Linked DNA regions of Ovis aries. The protein of the gene in region 7 interacts with the protein of the main gene of each other region in a pairwise test. Links are inferred from orthologs where the notes say so. Each region holds a gene or a part of one and is shown on either strand. Other genes may lie near its edges. The genes, in order: TRIM26, LDOC1, FRS3, SOX5, TRIM41, STX11 and TLE5.

Evidence for each region.
Region 1: the proteins of TLE5 (region 7) and TRIM26 interact in binary tests that used the Homo sapiens proteins (3 or more experiments, as listed by UniProt). The two-hybrid records come from large-scale screens. The link is inferred for Ovis aries from reciprocal best matches to the Homo sapiens genes TLE5 and TRIM26.
Region 2: the proteins of TLE5 (region 7) and LDOC1 interact in binary tests that used the Homo sapiens proteins (3 or more experiments, as listed by UniProt). The two-hybrid records come from large-scale screens. The link is inferred for Ovis aries from reciprocal best matches to the Homo sapiens genes TLE5 and LDOC1.
Region 3: the proteins of TLE5 (region 7) and FRS3 interact in binary tests that used the Homo sapiens proteins (3 or more experiments, as listed by UniProt). The two-hybrid records come from large-scale screens. The link is inferred for Ovis aries from reciprocal best matches to the Homo sapiens genes TLE5 and FRS3.
Region 4: the proteins of TLE5 (region 7) and SOX5 interact in binary tests that used the Homo sapiens proteins (3 or more experiments, as listed by UniProt). The two-hybrid records come from large-scale screens. The link is inferred for Ovis aries from reciprocal best matches to the Homo sapiens genes TLE5 and SOX5.
Region 5: the proteins of TLE5 (region 7) and TRIM41 interact in binary tests that used the Homo sapiens proteins (3 or more experiments, as listed by UniProt). The two-hybrid records come from large-scale screens. The link is inferred for Ovis aries from reciprocal best matches to the Homo sapiens genes TLE5 and TRIM41.
Region 6: the proteins of TLE5 (region 7) and STX11 interact in binary tests that used the Homo sapiens proteins (3 or more experiments, as listed by UniProt). The two-hybrid records come from large-scale screens. The link is inferred for Ovis aries from reciprocal best matches to the Homo sapiens genes TLE5 and STX11.

The regions. Positions count from the first base shown.
Region 1 is NC_056073.1:27,756,780-27,760,770, forward strand, and holds the start of TRIM26 (tripartite motif-containing protein 26), read left to right. Parts: upstream 1-1,191; 5' UTR 1,192-1,261; intron 1,262-3,991.
Region 2 is NC_056080.1:94,166,926-94,169,985, reverse strand, and holds LDOC1 (protein LDOC1), read left to right. Parts: upstream 1-1,180; 5' UTR 1,181-1,262; coding exon 1,263-1,703; 3' UTR 1,704-2,560; downstream 2,561-3,060. UniProt on the Homo sapiens protein: May have an important role in the development and/or progression of some cancers.
Region 3 is NC_056073.1:15,617,430-15,620,929, reverse strand, and holds the end of FRS3 (fibroblast growth factor receptor substrate 3), read left to right. Parts: intron 1-376; coding exon 377-538; intron 539-1,341; coding exon 1,342-1,499; intron 1,500-1,762; coding exon 1,763-2,677; 3' UTR 2,678-3,089; downstream 3,090-3,500. UniProt on the Homo sapiens protein: Adapter protein that links FGF and NGF receptors to downstream signaling pathways. Involved in the activation of MAP kinases. Down-regulates ERK2 signaling by interfering with the phosphorylation and nuclear translocation of ERK2.
Region 4 is NC_056056.1:191,733,130-191,737,204, forward strand, and holds the start of SOX5 (transcription factor SOX-5), read left to right. Parts: upstream 1-1,275; 5' UTR 1,276-1,344; coding exon 1,345-1,382; intron 1,383-4,075.
Region 5 is NC_056058.1:38,099,728-38,103,987, forward strand, and holds the start of TRIM41 (E3 ubiquitin-protein ligase TRIM41), read left to right. Parts: upstream 1-1,460; 5' UTR 1,461-2,202; coding exon 2,203-3,012; intron 3,013-4,260.
Region 6 is NC_056061.1:68,707,661-68,711,739, forward strand, and holds the start of STX11 (syntaxin-11), read left to right. Parts: upstream 1-1,279; 5' UTR 1,280-1,415; intron 1,416-1,581; 5' UTR 1,582-1,764; intron 1,765-4,079. UniProt on the Homo sapiens protein: SNARE that acts to regulate protein transport between late endosomes and the trans-Golgi network.
Region 7 is NC_056058.1:18,524,229-18,528,191, forward strand, and holds the start of TLE5 (TLE family member 5), read left to right. Parts: upstream 1-1,163; 5' UTR 1,164-1,317; coding exon 1,318-1,344; intron 1,345-2,476; coding exon 2,477-2,574; intron 2,575-3,963. UniProt on the Homo sapiens protein: Transcriptional corepressor. Acts as a dominant repressor towards other family members. Inhibits NF-kappa-B-regulated gene expression. May be required for the initiation and maintenance of the differentiated state.

The DNA.
Region 1 (3,991 bases), on a different chromosome or scaffold from region 7:
GCCATGAAGGTGCTTCCTGGAGATCAAAGGACAGGATGTGAACTGGAGCCTGGAGGCCACAAGGGTGACAAGGAGATCAGTCATGAGTCTGGGCCGTGGGTCCCCCTAACATTTTCCTGAGACATGAAAAAGGCATTCCTCCTCCCCAGACCTACACCACCATACCAAGGACACCAAGGGTGGACCCCCCTGTCCAAGCATCACCCTCTCCACCCTATGAAGCCTTCAGGGTGCCTTCTTCTCCTCCCAGGCCTAAGAGCCCAGGACCCTAGCCTCCTGTCTCTTCATCCCCTTCATGGACCTGACAGAGAAAGACCTGCTGTCTGGATCCCTCAGGCCTGATCCCTCCACCTCCAAACCATCGAATTAAAAAGTTCTGAGCTCCTGTACCCAAATCTAAATTCTGGCCCCGAGGATGACCCAAGGTTTGGGGTCACGGGTCCCAGAGAGGAGGCTTCCCAGGGCCCCACAGGCTACAGCTGACCCAGGCCTCCAGCTGCACAGATTAAGCTGGTTCTGGACTAAACCCCCACCCCTCATCCCCCCCACCCCCCCACCCCTCATCCCCCCCCCCCCCCCCCCCCTCATCCCCCCCACCCCCCCACCCCCCCACCCCTCATCCCCCCCACCCCCCCAAAAAATAGAACAAATCGCTGCAGGCTTTTCCTAGCCCAAGTAAACGTAGAGTCTGGGCCGCGTGCGGCGAATTTATCTTGCTTGGAGGTCCTGCGCCGCAGCAAGCAGCCCCCTGCTCCTCCCCCTGCAGAATTTCCCTCTCCCAGATCTTGGTCAGACCCAGGGACCCTAACAGCAGCGGAGTGCTTGAGTTCCTAAAGTCCCTACCGTCCGAACCTGAGGAAAGCAGTCGGGGCTGGTCGATAGAGACCCTGAAGCCAGGATTGGACACTGATTGGCTTCTAGAAACCGAATACTCAATGGGAGTGAATACTAGGATCTCGTCATGAGTATCCAGGCAGAAAGGCCCGACACAGTTTGAGAGGGGAGATAAGAGACCCTAAAACCAGGAACGCTGGTGACGTTGATTGGCTTCTAGAAACCGGATACGCAATGGGAGTGAGAACTGTTATCTCGTCATGAGTATCCAGGCAGAAAGACCCGACACAGTTTGAGCGGCGAGAAAGTGAAACCCCAGGGAGGTGGGGAATCCCACGAGGTTTGACTCCCTCGCCCAGACCCTGAGAGCCTTATCCGGGGACCTGGGACTTTGCCCTGACCTCTCACCTACTGCCTGGAGGACCCTGTAAGTCAGAAGTTTACAAACTTTCGGTTTCCGAATCAATGTATTCGACTTGGGACCTCAAAGATAGTATCACTTATGTGTGTTGTATCTGTGAACATTGGCCATATTAGAAATTGAAACAACAGAAATCGATTGATTCAATTGTAATATTATTAACCCATTACATTAAAATAAATAATTTTATGAAAAATCTATTTTCAAAATGAAATAGTATAGTGAGAAGTGAGACTTCTAGATTTTACATTCTTTCAAAAGTTTACATTCTTTTCTTGTATGCTTCGTTAGAAGACTGAAGTATTTGGATATCTGCTTCTGTATTTAATTTTTTTTTATTAAAGTAAATTAAAAAAATCCAGCCTCACACAAGTATAGGTAAGGCAAGTATTTTGAATAACATTTTCAGATAATTATACCTACTCATCTTTGATATAACACTAAAACTACACAAGTGTTAGGTTTCATGTGAAACTTGAAACTATAACTGAATATTTCCAGATCTGTTGCATAAGAGTCCATAGGTCTGTTTTGTACATTGAATGAATATTATATCAATGCATTTTTTTTTACAGTAATGCATTGCTTTACCAAGTTTTATAGATTTTAGAGTGTTGACGTTTAAGATTAGCAAACAATCACATTTGTTAATGTCACCACAGCTTACACTAGAAAAGTTTGTCAGTACTGGGAAGCTGTCAAGATTAATTTTCTAATGAGAACTTGCATTTTATCATTGGCAATAATACTGTAAGTTGATTTCCTGGAAGGGAGAAACTCATGTTCATTATGCCAAATAACGAAATCTAAAAAATCATGTTTTCCTGTTATTCATTCTTAAAATGAAATAGTCTTCCATAAAAAAAGAAGCTAAGTCAGCTCAGAAAAATTATTTTCCTTGGGACATAGTACTTTAAAATGGAACAGAAGTATTTTATGTGTACTTCCCATTTCATCCTATCAGAGAGTCTAAAATGTGGACTCAAGAATGATGACTGTAGAAACAATAATTTTTAATACTACGACCCGGATATTTTTCAGTGAAACTTGCTTTATTATTCTGCAATTAAATTGTGGTGAAGAATTCATAAGTGCTATTGCTGTTTGTTGAAATAGGCTCATTTCTGCTAAGTTTTACCTCAGTGTAAATGTCAACACAGTGAAAAAGGTAGGGGCTTCCCTGGTGGAACAGTGGTCATGAAATGGCCCTCCAATGCAGGGGACAAGGGTTTGATCCCTGCGGGGGAACCGAGAGCCCATGTGTCAAAGGACAACTAAGCCTTCAAGTTGCAACTGCTGAGCCTAAAGGCCATGCTCTGCAACTAGAGAAATCCCTCATGCCTCAGTGAAGACCCAGTGCAGCCAAAATAAGAAATACATATTTAAAAGAAAAAGGTTAATACATTTTTGGTAATGTCATGAAAATAGTTTTAACCTCATGGATCCCATAGTAGGGTCTCAGAGACTTCAAGGGTTCCACAGACCACAGTTTGAGAAGTACTGTTCTGAGTAAAGCAGGGAGACTGCAAGCTAGCATCCACCTCTCTGTCTCTTCACTTCTAGACTCCCTCTTCCTGAGCTGGACTCTGTGCTTCCCAACCTTTATGTATTAGGGCTCTGCCTCTTGGTTCTTCTAAAAGTGAAGTTGCCCCTAGAAATTTGATGCCAGAGTGTCTCCACCTAGGAAGGAGTTGGGAGACAGGTGTTTCCCCTGTGGAATGGGAATAGTCTGCGCCTGAAGGCACAAGAGAGAAATTTATTCCTGACCCATTTTGGATTTGTTGGTACCAGCTTAATATTTATCCATATCCCAGAAATAAATCTGATGTAATCTGTATGAGAAATAGTATTGGCCATTTGGTTTTGAATGGGCCTAATGTACCTTACTTGAGGCCCACTAATATCATCAATAATAGTGCTACTCAGAGTTCTGGGTCTGCACTTTTCACGTGGTAGGTGCTAGCTCTATGTGGCTACTGAGCACTTGAAATGTGGCTAACATCACTGAGCAGTTGAATTTTTATTTAATTAAATTTAAATTTAAATAGCCATATGTGGCTAGTAGCTACTGTATTTGACAGAGCATATCTAAGTGGTTTAGTTTTCATTCTCCCAAGATACTGTATGACTCATAGATTGAAGTACATTGAAATTATCTTCATACATTTGGTTATGTGGGTCTTAGACATTACTGTAAAATACAGCAGGCCCAAGAAAATTTAATCTGCCTCCAGTGCAGGAGACCCAGGTTTGATCCCTAGATCCCCAGGAGAAGGGAATGGCTATCCATCCACTCCAGTAATCTTGCCTGGAAAATTCCATGGACAGAGGAGTCTGGTGGGCTATAGTCCATGGGTTGCAAAGAGTCAGACCCACTTTCACTTTCTTTAACATTATTAATCTAAACATAATTTATCACCTCAAGGTCATTAGTTTTCAAAAACACTCATCTTTGGAGCTATTTCTTATCTATATTACATTGAGACTCTTCATGTCATTTCTGTTTATCTGGTAAACATAAGCAAGCACTTATATCTTCACTTAGCCACAAGAAAGTATTTATTGAATATCCCATTATAAAATACCCTGTTGGTCCTACATAATTATAAAAATACAAAACAGAAGATAAAAACTTTAGAATCCCCACCACCTTTGAATTCTTTACCTATTATTCCTCCCCATAGTGTGTGTAAAGTGATACTTGCCCCCAGTTTCAGTTTTTGTTTCCTTTTACCC
Region 2 (3,060 bases), on a different chromosome or scaffold from region 7:
GATGAGGTAGGGCCTGGTAGGCCATTACCAAGACTTTGGTTTTTCTTTTGACTGATAAGGGAAAACTATTGGAGGGTTTACAGCAGGGAGGGGAAGTGATCTAACTTTTGTTCTAAAGGAGTCCTGTCCTTACTCTGGGGAATACATACACTATAGGAAGAGAAGAATGGAAGTTAAGTGGTTAGTTTCAACAGCCTGTGTGAGAAAGGAGGGCTGGGACCAGGGTGGTATTGGTAGAAGTAACAAGAAGTGATTCGACTGGGAATATATTTTAAAAGGTGTTCCAACAGAATGTGGTGGCCCAGAGGCTGTCTCCCCAACTCATTTGTCAACTATTTGAATAATCGCATTCAAAGTAGAAAAGCAAAGCCATTTTTAAAACACAAGTGTTTATTGTTAAGCAGGGGATAAATACCCAGTAGTCAAGGGACACTAACATTAGGACAGAAATAGAGTCAAAGATAGGCAGGACTCCTGCAAATGGTGATTGGATGCTAAATTTTGCAGAACTTTTTACACTTTGCTATTTACAAAAATAATTTTAAACAAAGGGATAGAAGTACACAATACTATTTTCCAACCAAAGAAAAATCCCTTTTAAATATCGCTTTGTCATGAAAGACAGGACCCCTGAGGGTCTTTCATAACTCTTACAGGGTGTGACGCTGGCGTGCAGCCAGCACTGCTAACGGTTCTTTGGGTGAGGGAGATTTCATAAGCCAAGAAATGTGTTAAAACCACTCAGAGGGAACCCAGGGGCTACTGGCCCTCCAAGGAACACCGAGATGTATGAGTCGGCTTGGCTGAAGGGTGGTGAGTCCTTTAAACCTGAGCAGGTTGAACCTCTCTGAGAGATGGGTCTTTTGCGCTTGCACGGTCCAGGCTACGGCCCGACCCACATCCAAGGTTGGGTCTTCGCCTTTATCCAGCGGCCCCCGGACCTGCGAGCGCGGACGCCGAGCCCTAGTCCGGGCCACCCCGGCCCCGCCCCTTGCCTTCCCCGGCCCCGCCCCTTGCCTTCCCCGGCCCCGCCCCTTGCCTTCCCCGGCCCCGCCCCCTCCAGCCGGGCGGTGCCTGAGCGGGGCCGTCAGCTCGGCTGTGTGGGCGGAGCTTGCGCCGCCGCCGGGACCCCTGCGCGCACCGCCCCTCGCTCCTAGCCACCGCGCGTCTCCTCTGACACGCACTTCCTGCGAGGCCTCCGAGAGCACCTTAGCCTAGCCGAATCGAGCTGCGCCCTGCCCTGCCTTTCCAAGCTGTTCGCCATGGTGGATGAGCTGGTCCTGCTGCTGCACGCGCTTCTGATGCGGCACCGCGCCCTTAGCATCGAGAACAGCCAGCTCATGGAACAGCTTCGGCTGCTGGTGTGCGAGAGGGCCACCCTGCTGCGCCAGGTACGTCCGCCGAGCTGCCCTGTGCCCTTCCCCGAAACGTTTGACGGCGAGAGCTCCCGGCTCCCCGAGTTTATCGTGCAGACGGCGTCTTACATGCTCGTCAACGAGAACCGATTCTGCAACGACGCCATGAAGGTGGCATTCCTGATCAGCCTGCTCACCGGGGAAGCCGAGGAGTGGGTGGTGCCCTACATTGAGATGGATAGCCCCATCCTGGGCGATTACCGGGCCTTCCTCGATGAGATGAAACAGTGTTTTGGCTGGGATGACGACGAAGAAGACGAAGACGAAGATGAAGAAGATGAGTATTAGGCCCGGAGACCCTCGGGCCTAGAGGGGGAAGGGCACTGCCCTCCGCCACCCCCGCTGCCTCCCCGCCTCGCCCCGCCCGGAGCCACCGCGCTCCCCTAACGCTGTGATCCCCTGGCCTTTCCCTCCCCTCTGGTTGTCTTCCTCACCCTCCACTCTCTGCCGTAGTGCTTGTCTTTGTTCCAGGCATAGTGCTCTCTAGTCACCTGCTGCTGAGGCTGGGGCGTCTCTGAAGTGCACTCTGCTGCCCACTCTGGCCAGCCCCAGGACCCTCACTGCTCGTTAGAACTGTGTTCTGAGCCCCAGCTCTAGGGCAAGCCCCTCTTACAAACCGGTCAGCCTATACTCTGCCTTGCTGACTGTCAGGCCTGCACCTCTGCCCAGCGACCTGCGCTGCCACCCAAGCACCCTCCACCAGATTCCAGCGATAGACCCGGCCTTTGGAGATCAGGAACAATCTAGAAGATGCCTTTGTGGGCTACACCTCCTGGGACACTGATTTGGACTGCTCACCAACAACTCCACCCCCCTCCCCAGGGGCTAATCTTTCAACTTGATTAATTGTTCCCTACTAACTCCAGGTCTTCCTCCTGGCCCACCAGATTGCTGCAGGGGCCCATTGTGCCTGGCAACCCAATTGTTGACATTTCTCCTATGCATCAGTTTTGCACACCCGTCATCTTCATTTCAAAATTGCAGCAGTCCCATCGAGGTGTGCATTTGGACAAAAATACTAAAAACCGAACAATACAAACAAAAGCAAGTACTCAGCCCAGCTCCTCAATGCTACCTGGAAAAAGCATTTGCATTCTTTTCAATAAATTTCAAGCACTACCAAAAAAAAAAAAAAAAAACAACAACAGCAAGTGTCTTTTCATGGTTAAGGGCTATCATTGGCCTTTGCCACTTTCACCCTGACTCATTATTCCCACTGGCATCAGGGAATCTCATTCAACTTTCAATCTCTGTACTCCCCACTGTCACGACTAAACTCCAGAGGACAGTTACTACAGGGCTTTATGGGGAAACTGGTACTACCCCCACTGATGCCTTTCTTATAGCCCTGGTGAAGGGAGTGTTCTCTGGTGCTTCTGAGGTGGCATGGGTAAGGGGTGGCTGAGCAGGCAGGTGGCACACCATCCCAAACTGGGACAATTTTGAGAGAGCTTCAAGGGGACACTATTAATAATTAGACTGGAACAACAAGTACAAGTCAGGACACACAATATTTCTATTTTCATGAACTTTGGGGTTCTTCCTCAACATGGTCAGAGATGTTCTGCCTGTTAACTCTTAGTGCCTGTGGGGTGCTATTGATTTTAGGCTTCAATACATAGTGTAGCACATTGTTTTAAAACCC
Region 3 (3,500 bases), on a different chromosome or scaffold from region 7:
GGAGGGCATGGCAACCCACTCCAGTATTCTTGCCTGGAGAATCCCCATGGACAGAGAGGCCCAGCGGCCCACAGTCCGTGGGGTCACAGAGTGGGACACAACTAAGTGACTAAGCACAGCACGCTAGATCTTAAGATGATGGAAATGCATAGTGTGTGTTGGGGGAGGGGAGTGAAGGCCTTGGGCCGGCTCCTCCCATGGCTCTTGGATATTGGCGAGTGTGCGGAGAACAGTCAGGATGCTAACCCTAACCCCTCAGGCCTGGGACTGAAGTTCAGGGACGTTTCCTGAACTCTGTGCATCCTTTCAACCTCCCTGGTCCTCCCCTATAGGATGCAGGGTCAGAGGAGCCTCATTTCTTCCTCTCCTTCTTCAGGGATATTTGCATTTAAGTGCTCCAGGGCTGAGGAAATCTTCAACCTCCTCCAGGATCTGATGCAGTGCAACAGCATCAATGTGATGGAAGAGCCAGTCATCATCACCCGCAACAGCCACCCGGCTGAGCTTGACCTCCCTCGGGCCCCCCAGCCTCCCAATGGTGAGGAAACCCCTCTCCTCAGCACCCCAACGCACACACAAGCACAGGTCCAGGGAGCACTGGTCTTGGAGGCATGAGTCAGGCAGGCAGGTGGAGGATGGCTGGGTGAGCCAGGCTTCCAGGACCATCATCCATCATCAGACAACTCCCAGGGATAGATAAGTCCTGGCCTAGACTAATCAGGTGACTCAAGCTGAGGCTGGGGAGTCCAGAGCCTTGTATTGACGGATGGTCGGGGAGCAGACAGGAAGACATTGGGTTTCCATGGAAACGGCAGTCTGGAGCCGCTTTGCTTCCTTTCTTCTATCTACTGGGTCATACCCATATACCTTTCCTGACAGCTGGTGCACCATCTCTGCCCACAGCTGTCTGGAGAGGTTCCCACGGTTTCTGCTTGTTCATTCACTAAATCACATCGAACGCCTGCTTTGTGTCCTGCCCTCCATCAGCTGGCCCATGAGGGACAGAAGAAATAGACACACGGTCCTTGATTTTGAGGAGCTTCCCTGGAGCTCACTGGCAGAGCTGGAATGAAGTGTAGGGTCAGTTCAGTGACAGCAAGGTGTGCCTTAAGTGTTTCAGATAAGGCTCTGATGGGGGGAGTGGAGTTCAAGCTGAGCGTTCAGAAGAATGGCAGAGGTTGAAGATCAGACACAAGGTGAAGACAATGGGGACTGCCAGTTCGGTGGGTGGGCCCTCGAGGACCCTGGGAGTGTCTCCCTGGGAGAGTCCCAGGCTGCCACATGCACGGTTGCAGGCAGCTGCCACCTGGTTTAAGGACCCCTTGTCTCCTGTGTGCCCAGCTCTAGGCTATACCATCTCCAGCTTCTCCAATGGCTTCCCTGGCTGCCCAGGGGAGGGTCCCCGATTCTCAGCACCCCGGCGCCCCTCAACAAGCAGCCTCCGCCACCCCTCGCTTGGTGAAGAGTCCACCCATGCCCTCATTGCCCCAGATGAGCAGGTGAGCAACTGGCTGCCCAGGGTCTTCCTGTTGGTCTGGTGGGGGTAGGGGGTTGGGAAAATACAGCACCTCCTGCCAGTGAGGCTCATGAGAGGGAAGAAAATGGACAGGGCCCCTTCCTGTCCCAAGAAAGGGAGGCCGCTTCCCTGGAAGGTTTGGAGGGCAAGGAAGAGGAGGAGACTGCAGCCCTCTCCCATGTGCTTCTCCTCTCATCCTGTCCCCTGTTCTCTGCTTCCTTCTTGCCCTTGGACCCTCCCGCCCAGTCCCACACCTACGTCAACACGCCAGCCAGCGAGGAGGAGCAGCGCCGAAGCCGGCACTGCCTGCAGCCCTTGCCTGAGGGCCGGGCGCCCTTTGCACAGCAGGCCCGGGGCCCCGACCAGCGGGACCCACAGGTGTTCCTGCAGCCGGGCCAGGTGAAGTTCGTGTTGGGCCCCACCCCAGCTCGGCGGCACATGACCAAGTGCCAAGGCCTGTGCCCGAGCCTGCAGGACGCCCCCCACCACAACAATAACAACGAGGGCCTTTCAGAGTGCCCGGCCCAGCCCAAGTGCACCTACGAGAACGTCAGCGGCGGGTTGCGGCCGGGGGCGGGCTGGAAACTGAGCCCGGAGGAGCCGGGCTGGAACGGCCTGGCCCAGCGCCGGGCTGCACTACTGCACTATGAAAACCTGCCCTCCCTGCCCCCGGTGTGGGAGAGCCAGGCCCCACAGCCAGGGGAGGAGGCCGGGGATGACGGTGACTCAAGGGACGGGCTCACACCCTCCTCCAACGGCTTCCCGGAAGGCGAGGAGGACGAGACCCCGCTGCAGAAGCCCACCAGCACCCGGCCTGCCCTCCGCAGTCACGGCAGCTTCCCCGTGCCGCTGACCCGGCGCCGAGGCTCCCCAAGGGTCTTCAACTTTGATTTCCGCCGCCCGGGCCCGGAGCCCCCGAGGCAGCTCAACTACATCCAGGTGGAGCTGAAGGGCTGGGGTGGAGACCACTCCAAGGGGCCCCCGAACCCCTCCGCCCCCCGAGGCCCTGTGCCCACCACGCACCCTACCCGCAGCTCAGACTCCTACGCCGTGATCGACCTCAAAAAGACCGTGGCCATGTCCAACCTGCAGAGGGCGCTGCCCCGCGACGACGGGACCGCCCGGAAAACCCGGCACAACAGCACCGACCTGCCTCTGTAGGGGCGCCCCTCCTCCGCCCGGCCCATCCTCCGCCTCCCGCTCCATGCCCTGAACCCCCACGCCGGGGCTCGGGGCTGCTTCGCAGAAGGGCACTGAGGTGGACCAGATGCTTACCGCACTGGCCAGAGTCCCCAAAGATATCAGCCGCAGAGTCCCCCGGTGTCCGAGTTGGGGACAGGAGGGAGGAGGACCAGGCGAGGAGGGAGCCGCGGTGTAAACTGTGAAGGGCCCCCCGACGGCAATTAGCACCCTCCCGTTCTGTCATCTGTCGCGTCTGTCGTCTGTGTTTTTTTGGTTGAAATTTGGAAACATTTTGTACCTGTTGATTTTATTTATCAGTTTATTTTTCTATTTATTGTTTTAAATGTAATTTAACATATTTATTATTAATATAATTATTTTTAAATTCTGACGTGGATGATGTCACATTTTTAAAGAGTTTTTTTCTGGCATGCCTGGGGTGGGAGTCCAGGAGGCCTCACAGAGGTAGGGTCTTCACTCTAGGGTGATTGTGGTATTTGTGACAAGTAACAACCATTTCTTTTTCTCCTCTAAGAAGCCCTGGCCAGGAACTGAAAGTTGCCAGGGACGGCTGCTCTGTCAAAGTAAAGTGACAAGGCACCTGGAGTCCTTGATGCCCAAAGGGGATCTGTAAGAAAAACTCCCCGGACCCTCTGAGGCTGTAGTCAGTGGGAGTGGAATTGAGGGGTGGGGTGCTGTACCATATTCACCTTCTCTGGACTCTCTCACTGAGTCCCCCTTCCGCCCCCAGGTGGATCCGATTGGGTACTGCCCTCCTTTCCCACCTTGGCCCCAAGGGGGA
Region 4 (4,075 bases), on a different chromosome or scaffold from region 7:
GTGTGTGTGTGTGTGTGTGTGTATGAAGAATGCACACTATCTCGTGTTGGTGAGTGTGTGCTTACTCCCTGACCAGATGCTGCGGTGCACGGGGCAGCCACCATCTCTGCATGCGTGTCTGTGTAAGTGTCTCTCTCTCTCTGTGTATGTGCCTCTGTGCCTCTGTCATTTCATGTCAAAGGTACATTACCTGATTACCTTCCTCGCCTGCCAGATTTTTATCTAGATAATTGGAACTGCTATGGAGGCTGTGCCTTGCCAGCCAGCTTAGGAGCTGCAGAGCCCTAGTTTGTCCACCTTGTTATCTGTGGCTGCCTGGGCAGAGGAAATTAAAGAGATCCCCAGCCAGGGGAGCGCTTCCTGCCCGACTTCCCCAGCCATCCCAAGCAGGACAGTTTGTGAGGACCATCTTTTTGTTTTCATCTGTTGGTTTGGTTTGGGGTTCTGTTCCCTAGAGTGTGTGTTATTTTGGCACGTGGATACCTAGTCCCCTCCACCTCGCACATCGTGTTTTATGGAGTTTGGAGCTGAGGAAACTTTGGTTGGGTTGCCAGGACGTTCGCACCACTTTGTGGAAAGCGCGAGCTAACAGTGAGACCGACAGAGTGAGTGACAAGTTGTTTACAGGTTTCCTTGAAGGGGCCTCTGCTATATTTCAATCTGTCAAAGTTGCTTTTCTTCCCTCAGAACAATGCCTGATTGTTGTGTGCAAGTGTGTGTGTGTATGTGTGTGTGTGTGTGTTTCCGTGTGCGCACGGAGAGAGCCTAGAAAAGGGTGAGAAGGCATAACAATTCTTTGTGTAAAAATGCTATTACTAATATTTAATCTTTTTGCTCAATGAGTTAATCAATGCAGTTGAATCGGGGTTGGGTTCGTGTACAGATTTCTCGTTTAATCAGTAGCAAATGCATTTTCAAAAATCATATTTTGTGTATGTATGTGTGCATGCGTGTGCGACTTTTATTATTTAGAGGAGAGAGTATGGGAGACACACTAAATGAGTTGACTTCTCACATTTGGTGATGTCTAGAAGGGAGAATTAAAAGGAAAGGACAGGCACCCTGAGGTTGTCTAGTGCCTTGCAGCCCGAGTGTGCGGCTGGAGGAGGGGGGAGCGGCCAGACCCCGCTGCTGGAAGTGCGCTACCCCTTTAAGAGACTGGTCAAGGAGTCCTAGGAGTGGGAGGGGGGAGAGGGGGAGAGGGGGGAGAGAGAGATTGAGAGAGAGAGTGAGAGAGAGAGAGAGAAAATCAATTGGTTTAGAAGGTTTGGACTCACTTGACAGGTTCAGTTGGAGACGATCATAGGTGGCTGCTGTGACAAAGGGAAATTGTGCTTTTCCAGCATGCTTACTGACCCTGATTTACCTCAGGAGTTTGAAAGGTGAGTACAGTTTTCCCCCTCTGATATATTGAAGTGCAACTCTCCCATTTTACAGTAGTCTCTGAATCCACTGGAAGATGCTCGCCTAAAACGTGTTTGTTAGAGAAGCTTTTAGCGAGTGCTTCTGCAGTCTTGTTAGCTGATTTTTGTTGTGATTGCCCAGACCAAATGGAACTGATTTGCAAAGTCTCCGAGATCTCTGCTAATGTTTCTAGGTTGTGTCCTATAACAGGAAATTAAATGAACATTAAGCATCTCTCTCTTTCTCCCACTCTCTGCTTTTCTCTTTCTCATTCACTCTCTTACTCTCTTCCTTCGTTGATATTTTTCTCCCCTTCCACACCTTTTAAAAATGCTTTTGTGCAGAATGTTACCATTTTCAACATCTCTGTGTCGTAATTTCTGGGGTGACAGAGGGCTTTGGTGGTGATTAAAACGGACGCTATAAGTTCCTATTTGATCCTTCTGTAAAACTTTGGAAGCTGCTCAGTAAAGCACATGATCTTTTGTTGATATAAGAGAGCAGATTTTTTTTTTTTAAAGAAAATGTAACATCACAGTAATCTATTAGTACACTACTCTTGAAATGTCAAAAAAAAAAAAGAGAAATGGGGATGATCCCTTTCTAAGTTTTGTGGCCACTTTTTGCACTGTCTTAAGTTAAATTTTGATTTATTTTATTTTCTATTTTGCTCTGTGGGAATAAGTTTTTTGTTATTATTATTTCTTATTAGAGAAATATGTGCTAATACCCTTCCATTTGATGTTGTTGCAAGTAAAGAGAGCTTTGAAAGAATTTTAGCCCTCTTCGTGTTCCTCTAAGTACACATTGCAATTTTAAAATTTGAGTTCTTATCCCAGCATAAGTTCATTTTTTGGAACTATAAATAGAATTTTGTTTGCCATTAAAAAGAATTCAAACTTTGTATTCTGTATGGTGAATTAGAAAAAAAAAGCTAAAAAAAGCCAGGATGCATGATACCCAGGCTTTTTTTTTTTTCTTTTTCATGAAAGCTACCTTCTGTATAAACATTTGTTGTATCTGACTATGCAATGCAAGCTAGGTGCTAGACCAGCTGGTTAAAAATATGCTAAGTCAAGCTGTTCATCGCTCAAAAGACTGAATTTGATATGAAAAGACGAAAAAAGAAAGGACAAAGATTAAAACATTCTAGAAGTGAAGCAGTGGAAGAGAAGAAGGGTATTGAGAATAAAATAATGCTTGAATATGGTCATATATTAGAGAAACCAACATCAGATCAGGGAAGAAAATAAAATAGCCAGTACATATACTTTAATACTGTCTTCTTTCTTTCATTTCATCTTCTTTTTTTAAAAACTTAAGATGCATCTTCACTACATAATTCCAGCGAATGCCTGAGCTTTCTTAACAGTTTTGAGTGATTTTTTCCCCCAAAGTTCTGTATATTAACTCTTTAGAATAGTTAGTTTTTTTTGGTAAACATAGCCTGTTTCATATGTAGATACTGAAGTTGTTTATATTGGAACATACTATCGCTTAATACTACAGTGAGTTTTCTAGTATGTACAGAGCAGCACGAAATGATAGTATACTTTAACTCTATACTTTTCAGAAATAAAACTCTGAGTCTGATTTGTAAGTCTGTTAACCTGACTGTTCTTATAAAAAGGTAGTTACATATTAACAGGCTGTAGCCTATTCCTTTATATAGGCAAGCTTTCCTGCTGTGAACTTTATTTGTATCTTTTCAATTATCTCTTTTTAAACTAAACTTTTCCATTTGCTATTCTGATACTCAAATCTCTTAACATTTTTTTTCCTCCTAGTGAGAATTTCATTTTTTATCACCCAGAGGCATGCTTTTCTAACTGCCTAATTAGATAAGCAAGTGATAATCAATAGAGTTGTCAGTATAGACAGCATATTTGGAAATATTAGTAGCTAAAATAATTTTGAAAAATGTCCTACAGTGTAAAATTTCTTAATAATTTCCCCTGTGGTTATAATTGGTAGTACATACAAAATCTCAGTAAATCATTACTATTTGTTTACATTGAATATGTACGGCTGAGAGTATCTATAGTTACCCACACAGAGTATATATCATGCAGACTCAATATTGAATATTTATATTCTCCATGGGAGGTATATATGCTGTAATTATACTACTCTCTTATATAGTCAGTGTTCTTTTTGCCTTTTCAACTCTCTGCAACTTTCATTGAATATGTAGGTCATTTCTATCAAGTGTTAATTTTTATTCTATTTGCTCACCTGATATAGATGAGTAGTTCACTCAAACTTAGTCATAAATTCAAAAAGAAGACTTTTAAGTTTCTATATGAAATAAAGAAGATTGCTCTGGAGGGCATTACTAAGTTGCTTAGAGTTTATGTATTTTGGAAGTTGTAATTTTTTTTTCTAGTTTCGATTAAAGTCTTGACTATCTTCTATTATCCTTTGCAACCTGTAGACTATTTGAAACTTTAAGGAATATTCAAAACAAGTATCTGGATCAAAATTTGGATGTAGATTTCTATGTCTGTATTATCAGCTGTAGAAATGAACATGATCAATACTGTCCTAAACAGTTGTTAAATAATTCAGAAGCAGTAACAATTTCATTGTCTGCTAAAAAATATTCAAGAGGTAAAATAAAAAGTGATTACAAAAAGTAAAGAATTTGAAATACTTAATTTTTATTTTCAAA
Region 5 (4,260 bases), about 20 Mb from region 7:
TAAGACAAGATTCCAAAGGGACATGGGGCTCCCTTTAGGGGCCGTCTGAACCACGTTCAGGTCTGGTGGTCCCATTTATCTGCCACAGTAGCGTTTGCAGCTCCTGGCACGGCCTAGTACATAGTTTATGCACGAAGATTCGTAGTTTGGGCGCGTTCTGACCACCATTTTATAAAGCACATGTCATTTTGGAGTTTCCACAAGAGGTGAGAAGCGCCTCGAGATCAGGGTCAATTCTGCGTGCCCAGTTCTGGCATTGCGCAGCGCCCAACACTCACTAGAGAGTCCCGTAACTTTCCCTGCTGTCCAAAAAAAATTTTTTTAATTAAGCAAGATCATGTTTTTTAAAAACATCAAGTATTATTTCTATCGCACAAACAAACAATCCATTTGGCTGAGATGCTCCAGGTACCACAGCAGCATCTTTACCGATACCGTTCTACATCCTAGCTAGGATTCTCTCAAGTAAAACCCAATGCCGCAAACCCAGTTTGAGCCCCTGCTCTTACACTGGGACTCCACGAAGACAGACCTCGAAGTATTCTGGGCGTGGAGCACGCGCGGTGCACAGCTCAGAAAGAGCTGAAGGACTCAATAGCACTTGGGGGGTGGGAAACAAAATTATTTCTTTTTTCTTTAAGGCAATACATTGACTTGGTTCAAGTTCAAAAGAGACAGAACGACATTTACAGAAAAGTGTCCTAGATACACTAATATTCATCCAGAGATAGACAACAACGATGATAATGATGGATAGCTAAACCTTATATCTCATTTACTGTGTGCTAGGCAATATTATAATAGTTTTGCACAACAGTAATTTCACTAAACCCTCTGAGATAGGAACTACCCTTTATGAATTAGCACAGGATTCTGGTGGCTCAGAGGTTAAAGCATCTGCCTCCAATGCTGGAGACCCGGGTTTGATCCCTGGTGTTGAGCAGTACTCTTGCCTGGAGAATCCCATGGACGGAGGAGCCTGGTAGGCTACAAGTTCACGGGGTCGCAGAGTCGGACACGACTGAGCGACTTCACTTAGTCACTTATAAAGCTAAACATCCCATCCCTTTCCCTTGTTTACAATTATACTCTATAGATTGTTTAGCACCTTGGTTTTTTCATTTCATTTGTACATTTTGGGGAGGATTCCCTTTTTTACATCTGAAGTGTTCCACTGTGTGAATGTGCATGTCATGATTTGCTACTGTTCCTTTACCGATGGCAGTTAAGAAAGTTCATCTAAACGAAGCGACAGTGACCGACGGTAGTTTCTACAAAGTGTGTGGAAATGCCAACTACAGCTGGGAGGATGGGAGGGGTCTCCGGTCCCACCTCCACCGCACTTCTACAGACCCCGCCCCCTAGTCAGTCTCGGACCGACTCTCGGAGTCTTCAAACAACAAAGTCCTTCGCCTAGATGGGCCGGAAGTACTTCAGGGTTCTCACCGACACCCGCCCTTCCCATTTCCGGTATCGGCCGTGGGGAGTTCCTGCTGCAGTTCTCCGTGTCCGGTCGGTAGGATGGCGCTGGGCCGATACGGTCATAGCATAGAGAGTAGACGGGTGCCAAGCCCTTCCAAGGTCCCCCGAAATTTATCCCCAGTGGCGGGCGATGGGGGAGGCCGGGCTTTCAGTTTCGTCTGCGTTCCCCACTCCCTCGCATTACAGAGTCGTACGCCTCCGTCCTTTTAGGCCTCCCTCCCTGTTCCTGAGTGCCTGCTAGAGCGTCGCCTCACCGTTTCCTGTCATCTGGAGACCCGGGGCGGGGAAGCGGGGGCAGAAAGGGGCGTAGCGTGACCTGGGAGGGAGCTCGCGATCTTGGGTGGTTAGCAGCACCGGAAGTGTTAGGGGAGGCCGGAAGTGAGGGGGCGGAGCCAGGAAGTGAGGAGGGGCGGGGGTTTATGAGGAGGCCAAGGGAGCGTTGGGGCAGATTTGCACTCAGGGCCACCTGAGGGACTTGGCGGTATCGCTCAGCTCTGTCCCCTCCCCTTTCAGGGACTCGGTTGTGGTCTGGGAGTAGGGAACTCTGTGTGCAGGGGTGTGTTGTCGGGAGGACATTTCTTTGGCTGCGCTTGAGGCGAGGTGTGGAGGGGCAGGGCTGGGGGTGGGGCTGGGTCGTCAGGGAGTCTGAGAGGGAAGACCCCCCCGCCCCCCGCCCCCACCACTCACCACCCGTCTATACTGGCTGACTGGACACTTAAGATGGCTGCCGTTGCCATGGCACCCAACCCTGTGCAGACCCTTCAGGAGGAGGCGGTGTGCGCTATCTGCCTCGATTACTTCACGGACCCCGTGTCCATCGGCTGCGGGCACAACTTCTGCCGAGTGTGTGTAACCCAGTTGTGGGGAGGGGAGGATGAAGAGGACAGAGAAGAGTTAGACCGGGAGGAAGAGGAGGAGGATGCAGAGGAGGAAGAAGTGGAGGCTGTGGGGGCCGGTGGGGGTTGGGACACCCCTATGCGCGATGAAGACTATGAGGGCGACATGGAGGAGGAGGTCGAGGAGGAAGAAGAGGGTGTGTTCTGGACCAGTGGCATGGGCGGATCCAACTGGGACAACATGGACTACGTGTGGGAGGAGGAGGAGGAGGAGGAAGACCTGGACTACTACTTGGGGGATATGGAGGAGGACCTGAGGGGAGAGGAGGAGGAGGACGAGGAGGAAGTGCTGGAGGAGGACGAGGAAGAGGAGCTAGATCCCGTCACCCCACTGCCCCCGCCTCCAACTCCTCGGAGGTGCTTCACCTGCCCTCAGTGCCGCAAGAGCTTTCCTAGGCGGAGCTTCCGGCCCAACCTGCAGCTGGCCAACATGGTCCAGGTGATTCGGCAGATGCACCCAACCGCTGGTCGGGGGAGCCGTGGGAACGAGCAGGGCATTTGTCCCAAACACCAAGAAGCCCTGAAGCTCTTCTGCGAGGTGGATGAAGAGGCCATCTGTGTGGTATGTCGAGAATCCAGGAACCACAAACAGCACAGCGTGGTGCCATTGGAGGAGGTGGTGCAGGAGTACAAGGTGAGAGTAGAAGATGGGAGTTTAGTTGGGGTGGAGAAGAAGTAAGAGAAACTGGGGAAAGGAAATGGTGTCTTTCCCGTCCAGAGATCCTCGTGCACTGTTGAGCTGATTCTCCTTACCTAAGCACTTACTGGCACCAGGATGGTTAGAGTGAGAAGGATCCTGGACACAGACAAAGTAGACACTGTGGAGAAGACCAGGGAAGACTGGCTTCCTCAAACGAAATCTGGTGATGTCATATCACTGGACTTTGTCTCTTGGGGAAAAGCCACTGCTGTTTTGCACTTCACTGTCCCTAAGTTATAGAAATGCAAGTGACAAGCCCTTAGGGCTTTACCACCCGTCTTATTTAACTGTGAATGACTCTTAAAACTCTATCCCTGATTAAAACCTCTAGAAATGGGAAGAACTTGCTCAGTCATAAAGTCCTGGCCGACTCTTTGCGACCCCATGGACTGTAGCCTGCCAGGCTCCTCTGTCCATGGAATTTTCCAGGCAAGAATACTGGAGTGGGTTGCCATTTCCTTCTCCAGGAAAGAGCTTGGGCCTCAAATAATAAGGTGTTCTGAGGAACAGAAGTGTGTATTGACTACTAGAATCAGACTCATATGCTCTGCTCTTGTTCTAATGGGTTCCCCACCCACTCCAAGATATGGCTTTGTTTTCTCCTTGCGGAATCATTCTTTCGTACTGGCCAGCACTTCTTACCTTTCCTGGGTATTTAAAAAGAGGGATAGGCTTTTAAGTCAGAAGATCTGGCCCTTAGTCTCTGAATGTCTTTGAACTTTATAATTTCTCCAGGATTAAAAGTTAATGTTTACTGAACACTTACTATGTACCCCTGCACTGTACTAAGCACTTTTTCTTGGACTGTCTCATTTAAAATTGAAAACCTGTGAGTTTGCTGTGGTTTGTATTCCCGTTTTACAGATTGGGAAACGGAAGGGAAACAGAAACAGAGAGATGTAAGTAATATACACACAGGGCCACACAGTTCCTCGTAACTACACCGCCTCCCCCCGCCCCGCCTTTCCTGGCCTATACTGTTTTACAACATCACCACTATTTAGATGTCTGTTGTTTGATTTTTCTGACATGTGACTTTTCTTCTCGAAGTTTGATTCTAATTTAGTTAACATCTTTTCGGACACAGGTAAAGGAGATTTGTGTGTGAGATAGCTGGTAGAAATAACATTTACCGAAGGGCCAGATGGTTTGTAGAAGTGGAACCAGGAGGAGAGGGTAGCT
Region 6 (4,079 bases), on a different chromosome or scaffold from region 7:
ATACACATATTTTTTTTTAATTGAATACGTATTACACAATCTGTGGTTGGTTGACTACTTGGCTGTGAAACTGCAGATACAGTAGCCTATTAAAATTATACTTTGATTTTCTACTGTGTGGGAAGTTGATGCCTCTAACTACCATATTGTTCAAGAGTCAACTGTATTATATAATTGAAATTTGCTAAGAGAATACAACTTTAATGTTCTCACCAAAAAAAAAAAAAAGATCATTATGTGAGGTGATGAATATGTTAATTAATTAGGCAGTGGGAGTCTTTTCACAATGCATACAAATATCAAATCACCACCATGTATGCTTTGTTCCTTACATTTCTATTTGTCAATTACATCTCAGTAAAACTGAAAAAAAATCATGGCTTGATGATACAAGATGAATGTATAGTTTAAAAGGAAAAATCATAGCAATAATAAGGAGAATCATTCAAATGAGTGTTATCTTCAAAATAAAGAGACTCATATGGATAAATGAAATACAAATTACTCCAAAGCACTTTTGGAATAGACATTTGTGGTTTTGCTTCATCAAGAAAAATTTTATCAATGCTGTTTATTTTAACATTATTAACTTTATACTTGTAACGTAGATTGGCTTAAATTTTATAGTTTTTTAAAGAACTTGTAGTCATACAAAATTTATGCCATATTTATATAAGCTACATTGTATTTATATTATATTCAAGTAATTTGTCAACACTGCTGCTGCTGCTGCTGCTAAGTCGCTTCAGTCATGTCCGACTCTGTGCGACCCCAGAGACGGCAGCCCACCAGGCTCTCCCGTCCCTGGGATTCTCCAGGCAAGAGCACTGGAGTGGGTTGCCATTTCCTTCTCCAATGCGTGAAAGTGGAAAGTGAAAGTGAAGTCGCTCAGTTGTGTCCGACTCTTCTCGACCCCATGGACTGCAGCCTACCAGGTTCCTCCATCCATGGGGTTTTCCAGGCACTAATTACCATTTATTCTTTTTCCTTGAAGAGCAGTGTAATCCTTACTTAAGCTGGAAAGATGATGTAGTAGGACCATAAAAGAAATAAGGAGTGAATGGGTTATGTCCAACACTCATATCTACATTGTAATCAATTAAGAATTTCAATTTGCATGGGGGCATTTGTTTTGTAAATGTTTCTTTGTGACTAGGGATGTTGAGTTGTGTCAAAAGTTCCTGTTTCATAATTGACCTTTGCCATCGTCAGCCTATAGAAAATAGGGTTTTAAGAAATCAGATGGGGTGGCTTGCTTTCAACACCCAGTACTGGTGACACAGACCATGTCAGCTGCTAGAAAGGATTCCTGCTCACACTGGGACACATAAGGAAGGTGAGGAGCTGTGGACCCGAGAGGAACATCTGTCAGCTTCTCCACGGTCTCCTCAACAAGCTCATCATTCCAAGAGCAGGTATCCTCAAAGAAAGACTGTCTGCTGAATCTGTGACCTCTCTGCTCGAACTTCAGTCTGTTTTCATTGCATCACTTATTTGTACTAAGCTCATCTTTAAAATAGTCATTATTTAAAACACACTGTCTTTTGTGGTGCCAACATTGTACTTTTACATTTTCTTTAGGATCACAAAGGACTGCTGGTTGTGGTCTATGAACTCAGAAATTATAAACCACCTTTGATGAAGGAATCCATCCATTTGAAGTCTGTGTTAAAGGGAAAAATAAGACAAATAAAGACATGAAGCTGCCTCAAGGGGATGAAATGGATGACGAGTAAAAAAAGAAGACCACATCTCAACCACAAAGTAAGGCTTTTTGCTGTAGAAGCTTATAGTTTCTAAATGGATGGCACAAATTCTTCTAAATGAATAAACTATAGATGTAAAAATGTTTAGCCTATTTGTGAACACTACATCTTTGAGAACTAATTTAATTATTCAGATTTGAAACCAGCATTTGCTAAACATTTGTAAAAGGCATGGCTTATTTGTTACCTTCTGTTGGTGATTTTTTTTTGTTTCACTTTTATCAGTTCCTCAGGACTGGGCTCTGGTGCAAAAGGGATTTACCAGAAGTGAGCATTGATCAACAGTCTCATCTTAAAATACTTTTGCAAGTTGTTATGCAAAATCACAGTTGCAGAAAAACTGAGGTATTAAACAGATCAATTATGCTATCTCTAGTCCAGATTTTTTCAGCCCATTCTCTTTCACAGAGAATGTTCTGTTAGTATGCATAGAGTAGCCAATACATGCTAAACTTCAGGCCTCTTACAACAAGTATGCCAGTATATCAGAGGAACGTTTTCACTTATTTGCAATTTCTGTTAAATTGAAAATACAATGGTGTCATTTCAGGAACTATAAGCAAAGATAACATTTAATGGACACCAAAATAGTACAATTTGCAACCTCGCTTTCTACTCCTTCTTGTGTACCATGCACAGAAAAATGAGCTTATTTTAAAAAAGATTGCTTTTCTAAGAGAGATGTCTGCTGCATGTTTTATTTTTTGAATATTTGTATTTATTTTTTAATTTTTAAAATTCTTATTGGAGTAGAGTTGATTTATTAATACAGTGTTCTGCTAGTTTCAGGTGAACAGCAGTGAGTCAGTTGTACAAACAGCCACTCTTTTTTAGATTCTTTTCCCATATGGGCCATTACAGAGTATTGAAAAGAGTTCTCCTTATTAGTTATCTATTTTATATATAGTAGTGTGTATATCTGCATTCTTGTTTCTCTTCTTTTTTTAGTAGTTTTTCTAAGCTTACTTTTAGTTTGATATAACAGGATGAATAAATCATTTGCTTTGGAAAATTTTTCTTTTTTATTTTTTATGTGGCCTTTGAGTTGCTCTTGGACACTTTTTTGTAGTTAGGAACATAAACTTTTGTGTTGGATGCTAAGATTTGGATCCAGGTTCCTTTGCTTGCTGGTCCTGAGACAGTGGACAGGAGATTTGAAGGCTCTTTTCCTCCTGGGTCGGATGGGGTTGAGTTGTGCATACCTCATACTTTGTGATGCAGATGATAAGTGTTGGTTATCTTTGATATGAACCTGCTCTCAATGTGGGAGACCCAGGTTCAATCCCTGGGTCAGGGAGATCCCCCTGGAGAAAGGAATGGTTAACCACTCCATTATCCTTCCCTGGAGAATTCCATGGGCAGAAGAGCCTGAGGGGCTACATATAGTCCATGGGGTTACAAAGAGGTGGACATGACTGAGTGACTTTGATATATTAGCATTATGGGGTTTAATTTTTTAAAACGATCTGTTGTTTGCTAATATTTGTGTGTTTATATCTTAAGTTTCCAAGGTGTCTTAATGTGTCTGGGCTAAATGGTACACAAAAATACTCAGACTGAGTGTCTTATAAACAACAGAAATTTATTTCTCACAGTTTTGGAGGCTGTGAAGTCTTATATCATGGTAGTGATGAATTTGGTGTTTGATGAGAGCTTGCTTCCTGGTTCATAGATGGTTATCTTATTGCTATATCCTCTCACAGCAGAAGGGGCAAGAGAGTTTCCTGGGGCTTCTTTTATAAGGGTACTAATCATGAATCATGTTTTTGAGGTTTCTATATTCATGACTTCATCACCTCACAAGGTTCCACCTCCCAGTACCATCACATAGGGTTTGGATTTAAACATATGAATTTTAGAGGGACAGAAATATTCAGTGTATAGGAAAGGGTTAGAAACTCTGTTCTCCTATATGCTGTGTATGTTGAATAACAATGGCTTGTTTGAAGTACTGATGTACTAATTTCCTCATATACCTTTAAAAAGTAGTTTTTTGGGAAAAATAAATAAATATGTTTAAAGAAAAGCTTAGTAGATACTGGATAAATGAAACCTTAAAATTTACCTATTTACTTTATAAAGTCTTATTTCTGTATTTCCATAAATTACATTTTATATAGATAAGCTATATGCAAAAAGATTTGGATGTGAATCTGAGAATATTTTTCTAGTCTGAGTGTACTAGAGAAAAATTTATATCATATGACATACAACATTGTTTCTTTGAAAAGCTGACCAGCGGATCTAAATAAGATGAAAATATCATCAGGGAACATTTTTCATAGACTGTGGGTATAAACATTTCAGAGCAGA
Region 7 (3,963 bases):
GCATCTGTCCCTCCCTATCACCAGCTACAGAAGCTGCGGGGCTCAATACAAAACTAAACTGTGAGGACCCTGTTCAAAAATCATTTAGGAATTTCCAGAGACCACAAGGGCGGATCATTAACCAGAGCACAGCCCTTCTGGGAGCTGGGGCCCTATGTGAATGCATGAAGTTGCTGGCCCTGCCTCCCTGCCCTCATTTCCTCCCAAGCACTCCACCCCCCACCCCGTGCCAGGCAGTGCTGCCTCAGTGCCTTTGCGCTGGCTGACTCTGCCTCCTTGACTAAGCCACTACCCCCATAGCCTGCCAGCTCCTTCTCTCACCTTTGGGTCCTCTTAGAGGCCAAGGAGGCCCTCTGACCTCCCTCTGTTTAAAATCGCACCTTCCGGCCCTCCCTCCTGGTTTGTTTTCCCCATAGGTGTTACCACTGTCTGACCTGCTAGGGATGTGGTTCATGGGTTTGTCTCTATGTCTCATGACATCTCCACCAGGGCCACCAGGGCCTGGACTTTGTATCCCCTCCCACCCCACATCCTGGAGCGGAGCGAGGCTTGGTACACAGTAGGCGCTCCATAAATGTGTGTGGAAGCCATGGCTCCCAGGAGCTCGGTGGTTATCACCACCTCCTTTCTACAGAAGAGGAAATCAAGGCTCAGAAAACATCCCGTGAGCCAAGGTTACAGAGCATGTCCATGGCACGCGTCCGGGTCGCGCCATGACTGCGCCGGAGGTTTCGATGGGGGCAGCAGGGCCCCCCGGCTCTGACACATGAGGAAACCAAGGCCCAGGCGCGGCCGTGCGGGCCACCAGGCCAGCAGGGGCCGCGGCGCGGCGGGGGCGCGCCGGGCCCAAGGTCACCGCGCCGGCCTGCCCGGGGGAGGCGGATGGGTGGGGATCCGCGGGCCTCCCCGGGCGCGCGCCCCCCCCTCGGCGGCGCGCACGGGGCCCGGGAAGCAGAAGCGGCGGCGGCGGCGGCAGCAGCAGGTGGAGCCGGAGCCTCCGCGCAGCCGAGGCCGCGGCCACTGCCGGCGTCGCCGCCATTAGACAATAGGAGCGGCGGCCGGGCGTGCGGGGAGGCGGGCGGCGGGGAGGGGCGGGGAGGGGCGCCGGGCGCGCAGGAAGCGGGGCCCGGGGCGCGCCGGGGCCGGGCGCGCGGGGAGGGGGCGCAGGAAGCGGGCGAGGCCGGGCGCGGGAGGCGGCGGCGGCGGCCCGGGAGCTGCCGATCGGCGCCGGGACAAAGGCGCGGCCGCCGGCGCCCCGAGCAGCCCGAGCCGGGGCGCACAGCCGGGGCGCAGCCCGCGCCCCCCGCCGCGACTGACATGATGTTTCCACAAAGCAGGCATTCGGTAAGCGGGGCCCGCCGGCCCGGCGCCCACCCCATCCGGGCCCGGCAACCCCCAGTTCCTGGCTGGGCCATCCCCCAAGCTCTGGGCCCTGCGTCCCCCCAGGTCCCGGCCCGGCCCCCCCAGTTCCCAGCCGAACCATTCCCTCCCTCAGGTTCGGGCCCTGCACCCCCCCCTCAGGTCCAAACTCAGCGCCCCTCTCCAGGTCCAAGCCCTGTGCCCCCAGCTCTAGATCCCAGCCGGGCCGCCCCCACCCCCCAGCTCTCAGCTCGGCATCTCCCCCCCAACTCCTGGGCCCAGTCCCCTCTAGCTCTGGGCCCAGCGCTACTCCCCACCCCCGCCGCCAGCTCCCGGACTCCCTCCCATCCCCCGTAGCTCCCGGCCCCTCTCCCGGCTTCCGGGACCAGAGTACCCCGCTAGGTTCCAAGCCAGGTCCCCTCCAGCTCCCAGCTTAGATCCCCCGACCCCGCGCCAGCCCGGGCCCTGCCCCCAACCCCCCCAAGCCAGGATGGGCCTCGGCGGCCTTGGCCTCAGGCCTAGGGCGCCCCGGAAGCCCCACCAGGCACCTCTAAGGCTGGGGGTGCTTTCGGGGTCCGGGAGTGGGGGGAGACCCAAGGCGCACCCCTCCCGGAAGAGCGCGGCCTGGAGGAAGGGTGCTCAGAATCAGGGGTGCCCCCACTCGGAAATTTCAGGCGGTGAGAGATGCCCCTCCCCCAAGGGGACTAGGCTAGGAAACCTCATTCCCCCCCAACTTGGGGGGGTCTCTCTAGGACACGTTCTCCTCCCCCCAGAGGCAACTGGGCGCTCAGAGTGCACCCCCTCCCGGCGCTTTGGAGGCGCGGTAGAGGGCGCACCCTGCCCCCCACCAAGGGCGGGCCTTCAGACGCACCCCCACAGCCTGGGGGTGGCGGAGGACGAGAGGGCGCACCCACCCCCCTCGACTCGCTGGGAGAGGCGGGGGCAGGAAGCGAGGGCGGGGGCCGCGCCAGGAGCTGTAAACACGGGCCCGGGAAGTGGGGCGGGTGGGGGGGGCGCTGCAGCTGCGCCTGCCGCCGCCTTGGGGCCTCTGTGGCGGGGGAGAGGTGGATGTCTGCCCTGTGGGGTCCTGACCCGGGCCGCCGCCCCCTCCCCACAGGGCTCGTCGCACCTCCCCCAGCAACTCAAATTCACTACTTCGGACTCCTGCGATCGCATCAAAGATGAGTTTCAACTGCTGCAGGCTCAGTACCACAGGTGAGCTGGGGGCTGGTGGTCCCAACTCGGAAGAAGGTGGAGCCCCTTGCTCCAGACTGAGGCCTGGAGCGGAGATTGTGGCCTCTGCTTTATATACAGACTCCAAAAAATAGAGGCCATGAAGGTCTTAGTGGCAGGCGCTGTCTTTACCACTTCAGGGATATGACATTCATTTAGTCTTTAAAACAGTCCCATTTTTGTAGATGAGAAATCTGAGGCATCAAAAATGTCAATAATTTGCCCAGACTCAGTTGTCTGGTTTTAGAGCCCCTCTCCCCACCTCCACACCAATGGATAAAAGACCCCCAGCATCTAGAATTGGTGATTGATTCTCCACCTCCCCAAAGCCCTCCCCCCCCCACCCCCGCCCCAGATCTGTAGCCTGGTTTTGGAGAAAGGGTTCCTGCCACCCAGCAGGAAGGTGATTCTCCCTCCAGAATTGAATCTGACATTGCTAAAGGGTTTTGCCATGTGCCTGATCTAAAGAGAAAGGAACTATTTATTTTTCATTTTACATTTGGAAAAACTTAAGCCCAGAGATTTTTTGAGGTTGCACAGCAAGAAAGTAGCAAGATTTAGATCCCATCTCTGGACTGAAGGAAGCAGATCCTCAAGGCTGTGCTGCAGAGTGGTCTTTGCCTGGGAATCAGATGGGGAGTCTATATACCAGTGGGGTTTGGGGCCTCCCTGGATCTATTTACCCACACAGAAGTATTTTTTGAAGGATCCTGGGATTTCTGCAAGAAGAAATTGGAAAGAGTGATATATTTGTTCTTTAGAGGGTACTGCCCATTCTCCCCATTTGCTGAAGAGTGAACATACTTCCTTTTGTTTCGTCTTCCCTGCTGTCCTATCATTGTGCCCATTTCAAAGATCAGGAATCGGAGGTGTAGTTGATTGAAGGTTCTGATCCTGTGATATGGAGGGTTTAGGGGCTTTGCCCAACAGATCTGGCCTCTCTGAGCCTCTCCAGGGGGTCCCCTCTCCCTGCCTGGCCCATGCACACATCACAGTGACCACTGGAGCCGATCCAGTTCTAGAGATGTTGCCAGAGCGCTGTGTGACCTCAGATAGGTCACACCCCATCTCTGAACTTCACAGTCTCTGTTCGCTGGGCTTAGGCTTCCTGGTGTACACTGAGGGCTTCCACTGTGTTGGGGCTGTCCCAGTATCTACCAGTCCCTCAGGAAAGGCCAGAAATGCCGAATTTGGAATGAAATTGCACATGGACATTTTTAAAGAGAATTAGACTAAGTGTGGCTCACCTGTGAACCCAGGTATACAAGTCATGGTCAGTCTGGCAGAACGAAACTCTAAGTCCCCTGGGGTGACCACAAGATGAATGAAATATTTATTGGGTACTTACTGTATGCCAACATGAAGAGCATT